Linked DNA regions of Caenorhabditis elegans. The protein of the gene in region 2 purifies or fractionates together with the protein of the main gene of each other region. This does not show direct contact. Each region holds a gene or a part of one and is shown on either strand. Other genes may lie near its edges.

What was found. Proteins that work in one complex are often made in the same cells at the same time.
Region 1: the proteins of ZC196.2 (region 2) and rpn-8 fractionate together in Caenorhabditis elegans (co-fractionation; one large-scale study listed by BioGRID). This does not show direct contact.
Region 3: the proteins of ZC196.2 (region 2) and dcap-1 fractionate together in Caenorhabditis elegans (co-fractionation; one large-scale study listed by BioGRID). This does not show direct contact.

Annotation. Positions count from the first base shown.
Region 1 is NC_003279.8:4,173,652-4,177,779, reverse strand, and holds rpn-8 (26S proteasome non-ATPase regulatory subunit 7), read right to left. Parts: upstream 2,462-4,128; 5' UTR 2,458-2,461; coding exon 2,338-2,457; intron 2,285-2,337; coding exon 2,140-2,284; intron 2,096-2,139; coding exon 2,010-2,095; intron 1,950-2,009; coding exon 1,893-1,949; intron 1,784-1,892; exon of another isoform or gene 1,716-1,783; intron 1,426-1,715; coding exon 1,297-1,425; intron 1,248-1,296; coding exon 849-1,247; intron 803-848; coding exon 650-802; 3' UTR 509-649; downstream 1-508. Other genes in the region: R12E2.13 (MIR domain-containing protein), read left to right, coding at 36-125, 189-362; mrps-6 (Small ribosomal subunit protein bS6m), read left to right, coding at 3,041-3,085, 3,149-3,294, 3,344-3,422, 3,591-3,809.
Region 2 is NC_003283.11:8,737,684-8,742,829, reverse strand, and holds ZC196.2 (Major sperm protein), read right to left. Parts: upstream 3,395-5,146; 5' UTR 3,394-3,394; coding exon 3,219-3,393; intron 1,798-3,218; coding exon 1,557-1,797; intron 1,490-1,556; coding exon 1,375-1,489; intron 1,332-1,374; coding exon 1,218-1,331; intron 1,162-1,217; coding exon 841-1,161; intron 643-840; coding exon 571-642; 3' UTR 519-570; downstream 1-518. Other genes in the region: ZC196.3 (DUF713 domain-containing protein), read right to left, coding at 4,393-4,686, 4,732-4,911, 4,960-5,146.
Region 3 is NC_003282.8:1,052,016-1,056,356, forward strand, and holds dcap-1 (mRNA-decapping enzyme 1), read right to left. Parts: upstream 2,780-4,341; 5' UTR 2,772-2,779; coding exon 2,673-2,771; intron 2,624-2,672; coding exon 2,514-2,623; intron 2,448-2,513; coding exon 1,763-2,447; intron 1,059-1,762; coding exon 954-1,058; 3' UTR 509-953; downstream 1-508. Other genes in the region: Y55F3AM.13 (FH2 domain-containing protein), read right to left, coding at 3,069-3,272, 3,320-3,465, 3,530-4,115, 4,157-4,285. UniProt on the Caenorhabditis elegans protein: Component of the decapping complex necessary for the degradation of mRNAs, both in normal mRNA turnover and in nonsense-mediated mRNA decay.

The DNA.
Region 1 (4,128 bases), on a different chromosome or scaffold from region 2:
TCGAGAAAACAAATGAATAATTTGATTTTTTAAAGGAGGTCTCCGCTTTTGGCAGCGAAGCAGAAAGTGACACGGGAGATGATTGGACTGTGATTTGCAACGGAGATGAGTGGTTGGAATCCGAGGTTTGTTACATTCCTTTTCGATATTATCTATACGTTTTGAATACCCTATATTGTTCACTTTAGCAATTCAAACTTCGCCACGCTGTCACTGGTTCATACCTCTCACTCTCGGGACAACAATTCGGACGCCCCATTCATGGACAACGGGAGGTCGTCGGCACCGACTCGATCACTGGTGGAAGTGCATGGAAAGTTGCCGAAGGCATTTACATCAAGCATCAGCAAAAAGATCTTTAAATCCACATTGGATACTCCTAATTTAATAAGCCATGCCTTTCTTCGTGATATTTACCATTGCTTTACGGGGATGTTATCTTTGTTATTTTTTCTAATAAAGTTATTAGATTTTGTCTTCTGAAAAATTATTGGCAACTGATCTAAATACCGGGGATAAAATACTACATTGATGCACAGAAAAATAAAAGACCGAATAAATTAAATGTATATGATGCGATAGGGTAAAAGAAAAAGAGATTGGTGGAGAAGTGGACATGAGGATACAATCAATGTTCTGAGTTTGTTTATCACTTCTTTGGAGTATTAGGGGTTGATGATTTACTGTCCTTTTCCTTTTTCTCATCCTTCTTTTCATCCTTTTTGTCTTTCTTATCCTTTTCATCCTTCTTTTTCTCAGCTTCGCCAGTTTCCTGCTCCTTTTCAGCCTTCTGGAGAGAGATCTAAAAATCATAGCTTTTAATAAATTTTAAAATCTTTGCAAATCACCTTGTTATCAATTAAGTTGTGCAAAGCGACCACCGATCGTACAAGAGATCCCATATACACACACATGAGCTGATCATTAGTTTGCACATTCTGTGAAACAATGTAGTCTGGATGAGTGACGTCAGGCAGGAGATTGAGAACTTCTTGAACATAGTAAATGACATGATGGTTGACTGGAAGAGTTCCGCGCACAATATCATGAAGATACTTCTCAATGGATTCAAGCTGTGATTGCAGTCCTCTCAAGCCCATAAGTTGATCGGTGATACGCTGTGAAAGAGTTCCAGCAGTTTGGTCCTTGATATCTCTCAAAAGATGCTCGACTCCAACTTCCTCAGCTTCTTCGGCTCCGATATCTGAAGGCACATGCTCGAAGGTTTTGATTGGTGGAGTTCCATCCTACAAAACAATATATTGAAAAAAAATTAAACAGTATTTTGAAACGTACATCGTGAACTTCCTGAACTTCGATGTAAGCCTCTGTTGGCAATCCGATGTTCTTTGGCTCAGCATCGATAATTACAAGAACCGGGTTCGGGCAGAATCGTTTCAATTGCTCGTTGATAGCAATATCGTTCTGTAAAATTAATAAATAAATAATTAATTAAACTGTTGAAGTTGAACACCGTAATTTTGCAAAAATCAGGGTGGCACAGAAAGTAAGGCGGAGCGTAATTTCGCAACACTGTGACACGGTTTTTTCTTTTTTTTTTGTCAGGTATCCACTGCATTTTTTTCGATTTTTTTCAAAAGTTTTGATTTGATTTGTTTTAAGTTTTTTTTTTTTTGCTTTGTTGTTATTTGCACAGTATAATTTCAAATTTAAACAAGTTCGCGCTCCATCGATCATGAAACCGTAAAAACGGGTATCAGAACGGATATTATCGGTTCATAGAGATTCAGAGCCCAGTGATCCGTATGCAGTCATCACAAACCCGAGTGGAATGAGAAATCGAACCAATGGCTGGAGGCGCAGAGTGTGTGCCTGCTAGCCACTAGACCACTACGCGCGTTGTCCCCGTCTCTTTTTTGCCTCTTATATACCTTGTGAAGTTTTGGACCCGTATGATACCATCCGACGATTTTTTCCTTGGCGGCAACCTGTAAATTCATTTTTTTTGTTTAAAATTAAATAAAAACGAGATTTCAAAATTCACCAACCTTGTAGAACATTCCATACATGCTCTCCAAATAGTCCATGTCGAGGAACCATGTACTTTTATCCTTGTCATCTTCATCAAACGGAACTGAAAATTACTTTATAAGTAAGCAAATAAATTTTTAAAAATACCAGCAAAACTGTTTCCAATATCCAGAGTTTTGTCCTTTTTCATGGACCCCAAAAGGACTCCAACAACACGCTTCACGCTTTGAGTTTTGCTGACACGATTGAAATGATCAACAACACTCAGAAGAACCAATGGATGGACGGTCACCTTAAATAATTGTGTTTATTTAAAATCGAATTTTCTCGCTCAGGTATGCTAACCTTATTAACGGGAAGGTTTGCATGAACATTTCCAAGGCAATGATGGGCTCCAGCCTTTTGTTTGAGAACATCTACAGCTTTGACAGTCGCCACATCTCCGTCTTTGTTAGTTGGAGCCATTCTTCTAAAAAACGAAAATAAATTTATCACAATAAAAAATCAACACATAACAGTTTAACACGTTAATAATCGACATAACAGTGAGAAACGCTTAATCATTGCGGAAAAACCTGCCATAAACGTATCTAGAATATAATTTGAATGAAAAAATGAAAAGAAATAAATAAATAATGCTTAAAAACGACAATTTCCCGCTTCCCGTTCAAAAAAGAAATATCATCGTTTAAAGGCGCATGCAATTTCCCCGTAAATCGACACTGGCCGTGGTGAGACCCATCCCGTATTTCCACTTTATTTTTCCTGGTTCTTTACTTTAAAATTAACTTTTTTCGATTGCAATGACGGAAAATTAACTTTCTAATGCGAAAAATTGAAAATTGAACATTTATTTTATTGTTCTAGTAAATTTTTGTTTAATAATCTTGTGTTCACAGCCTGTCGTTGAAAAATGGCAACTTCCTATTTTGGAAAAATAGCTTGTGCTGTGATTTCTTATCGTGATTTTCATTGACATATTTCCAAATTCGTAGCATAGAAAATATTTTCAGTGAAGAAAAAGCATTCATACTGGGCGAGAACAACAATGCCGTTTTATGAAGTGAGCATGATCACACGATCTCTGTCAAAGGTACAGAAAAAACACGATGAAGCGTGAGAATGTGTATAATCATGAGAATATTCTTTATTTCAGGCAGATCTTGTTAAAGCTTTAACGCGTGCTGGAAACACTTTGCTGGATCACGGAGCAGTAATTGAAAAGGTTGAGTCACTGGGTCATCGAGATTTACCGTATAAACGGCTGGCCAAACAGACAAATGAGCCCGTCTACGCTTCAAAGTAATATTTAAAAACTATATATCTTAAAAAAATTGTTTGTTCTTTGCAGTTTCTTCCTCTTCAAGGCGCACATGTCTCGGGAAGCTAGACAGAAAACAAAGTCTATTTTGACACATGACCTGGACACGGTGAGTTAGTTAAATTTCATTATATATTATCTGATGTTGATGTATGATCGGGTCTTATTGTTTAAAAGTTTTCTTTGTTTAGATTCATTTCGAATGTTGTTTTGTTCTTTTTCTAAATTAATTTGTCACTTTTTGGTCATTACAAAAATCTGAACCATATTTTTTCAGGTTCAAGTCGATCTAATTCAAGTGGACACACTGCCGGCTCCAAAGGTTGAATGCAATCTGGAAGAAATCCTCAAATCTCCTGCCGAACGTCAAGCAGTCAAGGATTTGAGAGAAAATCAAAAGATGGGTCATTTCACGCGACAGATGATCTACAAACGTACTGAAAAGGAGTGGAAGAGTATCCCGAAGAGTTACCCAATTGCTCCGCCAAGGCCCTAGACATGAAATTCGTAATCGACTTAAATTTACGGGTCGAAGATCGCCGACAATGCACTTTTGGCCACACCTCCTTATGATAGTGTTATCAAACGAGGCTATCTTTTCGTACTTTGCGTTGTCTGTTTTCTCGATTCTTCTGTACAGTTTTAGGATTTATAGAGTGATTTTTGTTTTCTTAAAGTTGAATTGATTTGTTTTGTTTCATGAATATCACATTTTTATTTATTTATTTTTCTTCCTTCAAATCACGTACCTGGTTCATCTGACCAAGTGATATTTGTTCACTTTTCTATTGAAAGAAAATAACCTGTTTCACATT
Region 2 (5,146 bases):
GCATCAAAACAAAAATATTGGACCATTTTTCTGGAATACTTTTTGTTTTGCAGTGAAACTAATGAAGTTAGTGACTGAAGAGAGATAGAGAACAGTGAAATGTATTGCTACGTCTAAATTGTGTTTTCGATAAGAGTTTGTGTACATGAAATAGGTATGAGAAAGAATTTATTGAAAATGTGAGAAATACCGAAAGAAAAATCAATCATCTCACACTTTCATTAAATTTGGGAGGGGTTTATGTCTTATGTCTAAACTATGAATAATGAAAGTTTATCTTCTATCTGCAACAAATATTCACTGGAAAACAAACAAAACGGTAGAACTATCATATGTACAATACCAAAAATCAGAATCTACAGTTAAATACAATCAAATTAACAGGTGTGTTCTATTTATAAGTCCTCGTAAAGTCCCGCGAAAATCTTACCACATTGTCCAACATTTATGCGGTTGTCATCTACACCTGATATGAGAAAATGTAAAAGGCAATTGTTTAAATTGTTATAATCTTCCAAAAAGTTCTAAATTTTATTAAAATTTGTAAATAAAAAAAACAGTAATTTCTTATCAATTCGCCCAGAAGATTCTTTCCGTTATGCCAAGTTGTTCCTCCATAGTTCTCAATTCGTCTGATTCTCTCTGTAATAATGCATGTTTTTGGTGGTCTGGCCCTTGAATAATTTTAAAGTTTCTATTCGAATACAAAATTGAAAATTGATTTTTTTTCAATAAAAAACCTTAAAATTTTAAATTCGGTAAAAAAACTTGGGCGTTCAAAGTTAAAAACAAACCACGCAACAACTTTACTTTTCTTTCAAATGAAAATTAAATTCATACTTGAAGCTCCTCTCTTCTTTTCCTCAACTCATTCATTTTCTCTTCTGCTATTTTGTTCTGCCCATCTAGCACTTTTTCGAAATCTTGTCGCATTTGTTCCAATTCCTTTTTTGCGACTATTGAAAAATTATCGTCCAATTCAAAAACGCGTCTAGAGTTCCCAGGACTATTTGACAAACTTATTGTTTCCATAAATTGTGTTAATCTTGATATCCTTTTTTCGAACTTTTCCTCCAGTCTCATTTCCATTTCTTTCAATTTTAATTCAAAACTGTCTTCTAATTGGGACTTGATCTCATGAATTTTATCCACAAATTTTATCTGCAAAAAAAATTATAAAAAGAACTTTTAAAAATAATATATTTTTTAATTTTAACCTCAACTTCCAATTGATTTTTTTTTTGAAACTCGTCTTTTTTATCACAGGTGGTTCCAGTTTGATCAGCTTGTTGATTTTCGCCTAAAGGCACTTCAACCAGTTGTTTAGTATACTAAAACTATGATTGTTATTTTTAGGTAACAAATTAACACAACCTTTAAGCTCTTTGAATTTTCATTATTTTCTTGTAATTGTTTGGCTGTTGAATGATGTGAACTTTTGCCATCATCAGAAACATTTTGAATAGGAGATGATTGTCTCGAAGATTCTCTAAAAAAAATTATTGTTGAAGTAGATCTCTCTTAAGATATTTCAATTAAGAAAAACGAAAACTCACGATGCAATTTGATCATTTCTAAAATCTGGGCTGCTTCCAGTCCCAAGAATAATAGGTGACTTATGGACAAGTATTTTCTCATTAGGGATGCTGCTCCAGAAACTTTTCAAATCATCAATATCTTCAGATTCAAATTCACATGATTCTATTTTGAGCTTGTATGATTTTGCGTTCAGGCTAACTTTGTCGCTCGATCGAAACTTGACAGATAATTGCCTCGCTTCTCCAGGTTTCAGCAAATCTGAAGCAGTAGATTCAAATTGTATTTATTAGGGTGAGCAATAAGTTTTTTCGTATTTTCTCAGTTTTCATCCTTTCTGAAATATTTTGTATGTGGTACATAGTATTCTGTTAGTAGTGCAAAATATATTGAAACCATATATTTCCGCCCACTTCCAAACTGATTCATCCTCAAAACTTCGCTCGAAAAAAATATCCAATTTTTTCGATTTTTTCGGATTCTTTGGGAAATCCAAATTTTACTAAATTTCCTTCGTTCAAAAATATTACAAAAAATACATTTTGATTTTGAGAGGGTATAAAACCGACATCGTAAAAGATATAAATACGGATAAAACGACAATCTTGTTCTTCAGATTAATAGCAACATTTCTGCAGTTGAACACTTTTTGATATCTAAAACCAGTAAAAAGTGACAGGCTATTGAGTCAGAGGCACTCATTTTCGCTGAATCTGCCACATTCTTACATTTGCCTCCGTAGATTTGTTAAATCTTAATTTATCAGAAAGTGTTCAACTGCAATGTTGTTTATTACATATTTGTGCACAACTTTTCAGTTGATCAGTTTTTGATAACAATGTTATCCAGGAAGTTACAAGCGTTGGAACAAAAAACACCAAAGATTGAGAAAATTTCTCTAAATTTGAATCAAAAAAATTCGAGAAAAAAAAATTTTAAGATAACTTTGCGAATTGCACGTATTGCAAAAATCAAGTTAAGACAAAAACAAAAAACACATTATTACATGTTGTGATTTCATATTCAACAAGTTTGGTCGTTTTTGTGAAAAATGTTTTTGATAAATTCAGATTTAACAAAACTACGTAGGCAAACGTAAGAATGTGGCAGATTCAGCGAAAATGAGTGCCTCTGACTAAATAGCCTGTCACTTTTTACTGGTTTTAGATATCAAAAAGTGTTCAACTGCAGAAATGTTGCTATTAATCTGAAGAACAACATTGCAGTTTCATCCGTACTTATATTTTTTTACGATGTCGGTTTTATACCCTCTCAAAATCAAAATGTATTTTTTTTGCTGTAATTTTTTGTAATATTTTTTATATTTTTGAACAAAAAGGGAAAAAGGTATCTAATACTGCTCAGTTCTGAATTTAATTAATATTATGTATACAACTAATGGTCTAATACCTCACGGAGTACTGACATTTGGATTTCCCAAAGAATCCGAAAAAATCGAAAAAATTGGATATTTTTTTCGAGCGAAGTTTTGAGGATGAATCAGTTTGGAAGTGGGCGGAAATATATGGTATCAATATATTTCGCACTACTAACAGAATACTATGTACCACATACAAAATATTTGAGAAAGGATGAAAACTGAGAAAATACGAAAAAACTTATTGCTCACCCTAATACATAAGTAATTTTTTGAGAAAAGTTTTCTAATAAATGTGACTTACCAGGATTTGGTCGACTGACATACATATTTGGTACACTCGTTTTCACTTTGAAACATACTGGTTTCTCAGATATATTTTTCAGAGTAACATAGGCAGTATCAGTCAGATTTGTTGATTTATTGAACACAAAATTGTCGCAGGGAGTCACTTCAAGAAGAATTGTTTTACCACACATTCCTGAACACATTCAAAATTAGCGAAGAAACGTTCAAAGAGCAAAGAAACTTTCAAGAAAATGAGAGAAACGTTTTTCGAAAGAACAAACGCTACGAATTGCTATGACTAAAACGCGAGAGAGATGCTGATAAGATTGTTTACAAATTAATGTTGATCACACAACTAAACAAATCTTTTTTATTTTGAGAACACAATATTTTTGTCTTCAAAACATAAAATCATGCTCACAAGTATAATTATGGAGTCTTCCACTTCTGAGTGTTTTTTTTTCAATAAAAACTCACTCAAAAACTCATAAAGATTATAACATCATTTTCAGCATCTTAAAAACGTTTTTTTTAGTAATTATTATAACCCCAAACATTCATTTACAATTACTTACAATAGCTAAAAGATAGCTAAGATTTGTGTACATATTTCAACATCTTACAAAAATTCATTCCAAATAAATTGCAAAAAAAGTTCCACAGTTAGAAGAAAACAAATCATGATAAAACATATTCGAAACTTGAGAGATTATAAAAACCACGATTTCACTTTTTAAATGTTTTATTCTCTACGACGTCTCAATGTGAGTTCAACTCTGTTTTCTACCTTCTGCAAAACTGATTAGGTTGAACATTAGACTCTTCCCTAATTTTGTCAAAACTAACCAGCGATAGGTTGATAGGATAGATAGGGTTGTTGAAAGAGACGAAGTAGATTTACGAAACACTGTTTTGAACACGGAAAATGAAAGCAGATCTCCGATGTTTGATGAACACAGAGACGGTGTGTAGAAAACTGCCTTGAAAATATCATACTTTTTGGATGTTTTCAATTTTCCTCCAAAGGCAAGAAACTTGTTTAAATTTCTCTAAGTTTCTATAATTTATTTGTGATTCTGAAGGCATCGAAGTATGTCGATTAAAAGAAATCAATTTTTCATTCAGTGAATATAATTTGTAAATACATATGTATGTATGAAGTGAATATAAATATAAATTATCTATATCACTTAACAAATAACACATTTACTTTCAGAAGTACAAACTTCTTCTGCTTGAACATTGTCTTGTTCGTGGATCACGACGTAACTCTTGAGGTGTATCTTCGGGAATTCTAACTGCTCATAGTTGGAAACGACGGCTTTTTTGCAAATTTTTCGTAGTGATGTTGTTGTCGGAATGTCACTGAGCTTTATCATAAAAAACAACTTTTCGAGTTGTTTATACCATTCGTGGGACGGGGCGTTCACATCAAGAATATTCAGAATCGATGATAAAACAAGTGCAAAATCAATTATACTTTTCTGAAAATTGGATTTTCATTGGAAAGATAATACACACGAGAGTACCTGTAGAACTTTGATGAATAATGCATCTGTAGCTATGTCATGTTGTTCACCGAGTTGGATAAACAGAAACTCAAGAGTATCAAATAGGCTTAATACACATTCTGAAAGAATTGATATTTCTTCATATGCATCTTGAAGTGATTCCGACGGTAAGCGTTTAAAATATTTCCATTCACGCGCCTAAATGTTTAAAAAAATTATGTTTAAACACTAGCAAATGCAAATTACCACATTCTGAAAATCTCGAAAATATTCTAGGAATCTCTTGATCGGTTGCTTATAGCAATTTTGAATCCAATCAGCAACTTTTTCTTCCTTTTCCTCAAATCTTTGTTTTAATCTGATACATTCAAATAGTGCAATAAAACGATTTTTCATTTGACTTTGAATTTGTTCTAATTCAGCCTCGAACTCT
Region 3 (4,341 bases), on a different chromosome or scaffold from region 2:
TCTTTATTCCAAATGGCTCAACACGAAAATTGATGCCGACTTTCTTTAAAAGTTTTTGTGCACATATTTTGCATACATGAAAATGTTTATTCTATTAATATACACGGGGTTCCGGCCTTCCTCAATGGATTTTTCGCGCTCCATTGACAATCGCTCGCCGGACAACGCATGGGAAAGTGGTGCACTCCACTCGGACAAATGCATTTAGTTTTACAACTAAAATCGAGCCGCAACGCGCCGTAAATCTACCCCAGATATGGCCGAACCAAAATGGCCTAGTTCGACAAACTCTTCCATTTCAATTTATGAGGGAAGCCAGAAATCCGTGCAATATTTTGCCAGCAGTTTTCTACAACTTGTCGGCGGTGTTTGAAAACGTTTACTATATTGACAAAAGTTCGTCAGTTTTGCCGTTTTTGACAATTTCCGACAACTTTCGTCAACTTTCGACAATTATCAGTAACTTTCCACAATTTTCGATAGCTTCAGCCAACTTTCTGCACTTTTTCGACGCGACTTCCTTTATTATTTTTCACAATCAAGAGTTTAGAGTAAAGTGGAGAAAATGGGGAATTTTAAATTTAAAAAAACGAAAATTTTTGGAGGGCGGTGTGGTTTGAGATATCATCAATAGGGAGACCCATTCAGTGAACAAAATATGGACAATTTTATGGGGAAAAATGAGCAAAAGGGCTCAGGAGGAATCACACAATATTCACAAAAAAATATTCGTTGAAAAAATATGGAAAGTGGGAAAAATAGAGGGAAAATGGGATTTTTCGAGCAAAAAATTGGAAATCTTCACAGGAAAAATCGGAAAAAAAAATTTCTTAGCAAAAAATCGGAGAAAATTTTGATTTTTTCACTCAAAAACCAGCAAGAAATCAGGGAAATATCGGGGAAAATTAGGATTTTTAGCAGAAAAATGAGAAAAAGGTCGAAAAAATGGGAAATTAATCGATATTTAGACGCCGATTGAGTGCACTGACGTAGGCTTGATGAATCTGTGAAACGAATTCGTCGTCGGTTTGCATTAGGTGGGCGATTGCTGAGATGAACTGAAAAAATTTGAATTTTAGGGGGTTTTCGGTGATTTTTAACGATTTTTCACAAAAATCTGAGATTTTTAGATAAATTTCGCTTTTTTCCGGAAATTTTACCGCTTTTTTATAATTTTTAGGAAAAAACGGTACTTTTTTTAAAAGAGATTTCAATACCTAAGCTAGACTAAGCCTAAGCCTATGCCTATGCCTAAGCCTAAGTTTAAGGTTAGGCCTACGCCTACGCCTAAGCCCAAGGCTAAATCTAAAGGACAAGACTAAGCTTGAGCCTAGGCCTATGCCTAAGCCTGAGCCTCAGCATAAGCCTAAGCCTAATCCTAAGCCGAAGCAGAAGCCTAAGCCTGAGCCTGAACCTAGGTCTAGGCCTGAGCCTAAGCCTGGGCCTAAAATTTTCAGCTTAAGTATCGTAATTTCATGTTGAAAAACAAATAAAGTCGATTTCAAGCTTAAAAATTGCTCATTTTCACTGAGAAAGCAGATTTTTAGCTGGAAAACCTGAATTTTCCGTTAAAAAACTGATTTTTCGCATTTTTTAGCTCCAATTTCGAGCAAAAATGGGATTTTTGACAAAATTTTTCAACTAAAATAAAGATTTTTCATGTAAATTTTCGAGATTTCTCGTGAAAAATCAGTTTTTAATTGATTTTATCTAAAAAATCTGAGCTTTTCACTCAAAAAAAAAACGTTTTTCCAGCTCCAACCTGTTCTTTATTGAGAACAGGCGTCTGTTCACCACTTCCAACGACAAATGAAGCATCAAGTGGCTCTAAAATCTCTCCTTCAGCAATATCCGACTCCACATCACCCTCCGATCCATGCAAAGGCTTCGTCGAGACCGCCGCCAACGAAATCGCCGACGTTGAGTTAGTAAATTCTTGCAAAAGATGATTCCGATGCGGTTTTGCCGACTTTATAAGATCCTTCTCGAGCTCATCGGCCGACATTGCTGCTCCCGGCTCTTTGAGCATCAGCTTCTGGAGCATTGGCGGCATTTGTTCGATCGTTGCCGCAGATTTTTGCGGCGGATTTTGCGCACTTTTTATGAGCTGGAGAAGATCCACTTTTGGTGGGGCTTGAGGAGCCATTTGTGGAGCTTGAGCTGGAGCTGCTGGAGCCTGCGTTGGAGCCGGAACCGAAGCCTGTGGAGCCTCCGAGGCGGCCTTGGCGGCCCGAGCCTGCTCCGTAGTGCTTCCTTTCAGACGATTCACGAGTTTTTGCAACAAATTGTAGATTTTCTGAGCATCATCAATCTGGTGGAACCATAGTGCTTGAATTGAGGCCAAATCCTTGTAAAAGTAGATGAAATTTCCGTCGTGGCGGAGAATATGGTTGAGGGTGAGCGGCTCGATGAAATCCGATGGATCGTTGCGATTTGCGATGAGGAAACTGAAATAAATAAGTTTAAAATTGATTATTTTAGCTATTTTTGCATGTTTTCTTGCTTCTTCTCACCTAAAATATGGCCGATCAGCTCTCTGATAGACGAAAAATGTTCCTTCGCAATTCGACTGATTCCACTCTTTTCTCGCCGCATCGATATGATAAATCGCGGCAAATGGCATCTACAAAACCAATTTTTAGCTTTAAAATCCACAATTCTCTATGTTAAACCTTGTCGAGAATCTTGCTGGCGGCGATGTCGATTTTCTGGAGTTGTGCGAGGTTTTTCGCGGCTAGCTCGGCGGCGGCCTTTTTTTTAGCGTCGCTCATACTGGTTCCTGGATGAAAATGTTGAGTTTTCGATGAAAAATGATGAGAAAAGTGCAAAAAATCTGCGGAAATCGGTGAAAATCGCGAAAAAAACAAAGAAAGACAGAATTTAAATTGAAATTCTATGGTGTAGATTTACGGTAAACAGGGCGCGCTGCGGGATTTTGGAGTATCGTTGTAATTGTAAACTGAATTTTTAAAGCAAAAAATTTGTTTCTTAAACGAAAAAATCAGATAAAAATGCAAAATAATTCATTTAAACCGAGAAAATCAAATAAAAACATCAATAAATCAAATCTAAACAATCAAAGCGTCAATCTTCTTAGCCCACAACTCCACATTGTTCGGAAGGTGCTCCCCAAGGTTCAGAAGGCTTCTGAACACAATATCAGCGACACACACCTCCCATTGAGAGCTTAACGAGTCGAAACGAGCCAGGAACTGAGAAGCTTCACGTGTGACAAAGCTCTGATCACAGGAGCCGGCAAGGATTTGCTCGGCCTGAAAGAAAATTTGATTTTTTTGGGAAAGTTTCTAAAATTTCCTACTTTTCCCAGCCAAATCGCTTGATGACTGGCGCTGAGCACTTGTTGTGGCCGTCTAGAGAAGAGCCCGAGTGAAGAGCCCAACAGCTTCCAGATAGTTTGAAGGGATTTGACGGTAGTTTTTTCCAATTGCAGGGAGGGAGCAGGGCCTGAAAATATTGAAAATTAAGGGTATATCATAAAATTCTGATTTTTAGAGAAAAAATCCCGCACCTTTCACAACTTTCAGACTGGATTTCTTCTCTTTCGTCTGATTTTTGACTTCTCCCTCAAACGAGACTCCACGGCTTGCGCCGACCTTTGCGAGAGCCCGAGCCCACGGCAAATCCACGTCCCGCACTGTCAGCGTGGCGTTTTTCAGCTGCTCCTGCGGCTCGTAGGCCACAAGGGAGGTTGGGAGATTCACGGTGAGAGTCAGATTGGTCTCCCACGTCTTTCGGTCGTCCTGGACGGTCCATGGAGTCGAATTTACGGTCTTTTTCGCGGATTTCTGTGGTGGAGCCTCTCCGGAAGCCAATTTCTTTACGGCTTCTGCCTTGGCAGCCTTGCGAGCCTCCTTCTTGGCGTCCTTGTCTAGTTTTGCGGGGGCTCCGGGGACTCCGGGAGCTGAAGAGGCTGCTCCAGCGGATTTCTCAGGCTCTTTTGGCGCTTTTTCCGCAGGTTTTTGAGCAGATCTCTCTGCTTTTCCAGCCTCTCCAAGGCTTACCAGCAACTTCTTGAGCTCTTCGGTCTGTGCTTTGAGCTGCTCGATCAGTGAGAGCTGTTTGTGCTCCAAAGCCTTGCGCGGATCGGATTCTACCTGAAATTTCAGTTTTTTTTGAGCCAAAATCCGTCTATTACCTGCACCGCATCAGAAGGCCCGACTCCTCCGAAAGATGGATTATGATACGAACCTACTGGATAGCAGGCGATTTTCGGATGAACCTCAAAATTCGGTGGGAACGTCGGTGTCAGCTTGTACATTGGCATCGCGTGATTTACCCTGGAAAATCCTATTTTATACGAAATCTTGAGATTTTTGAGAT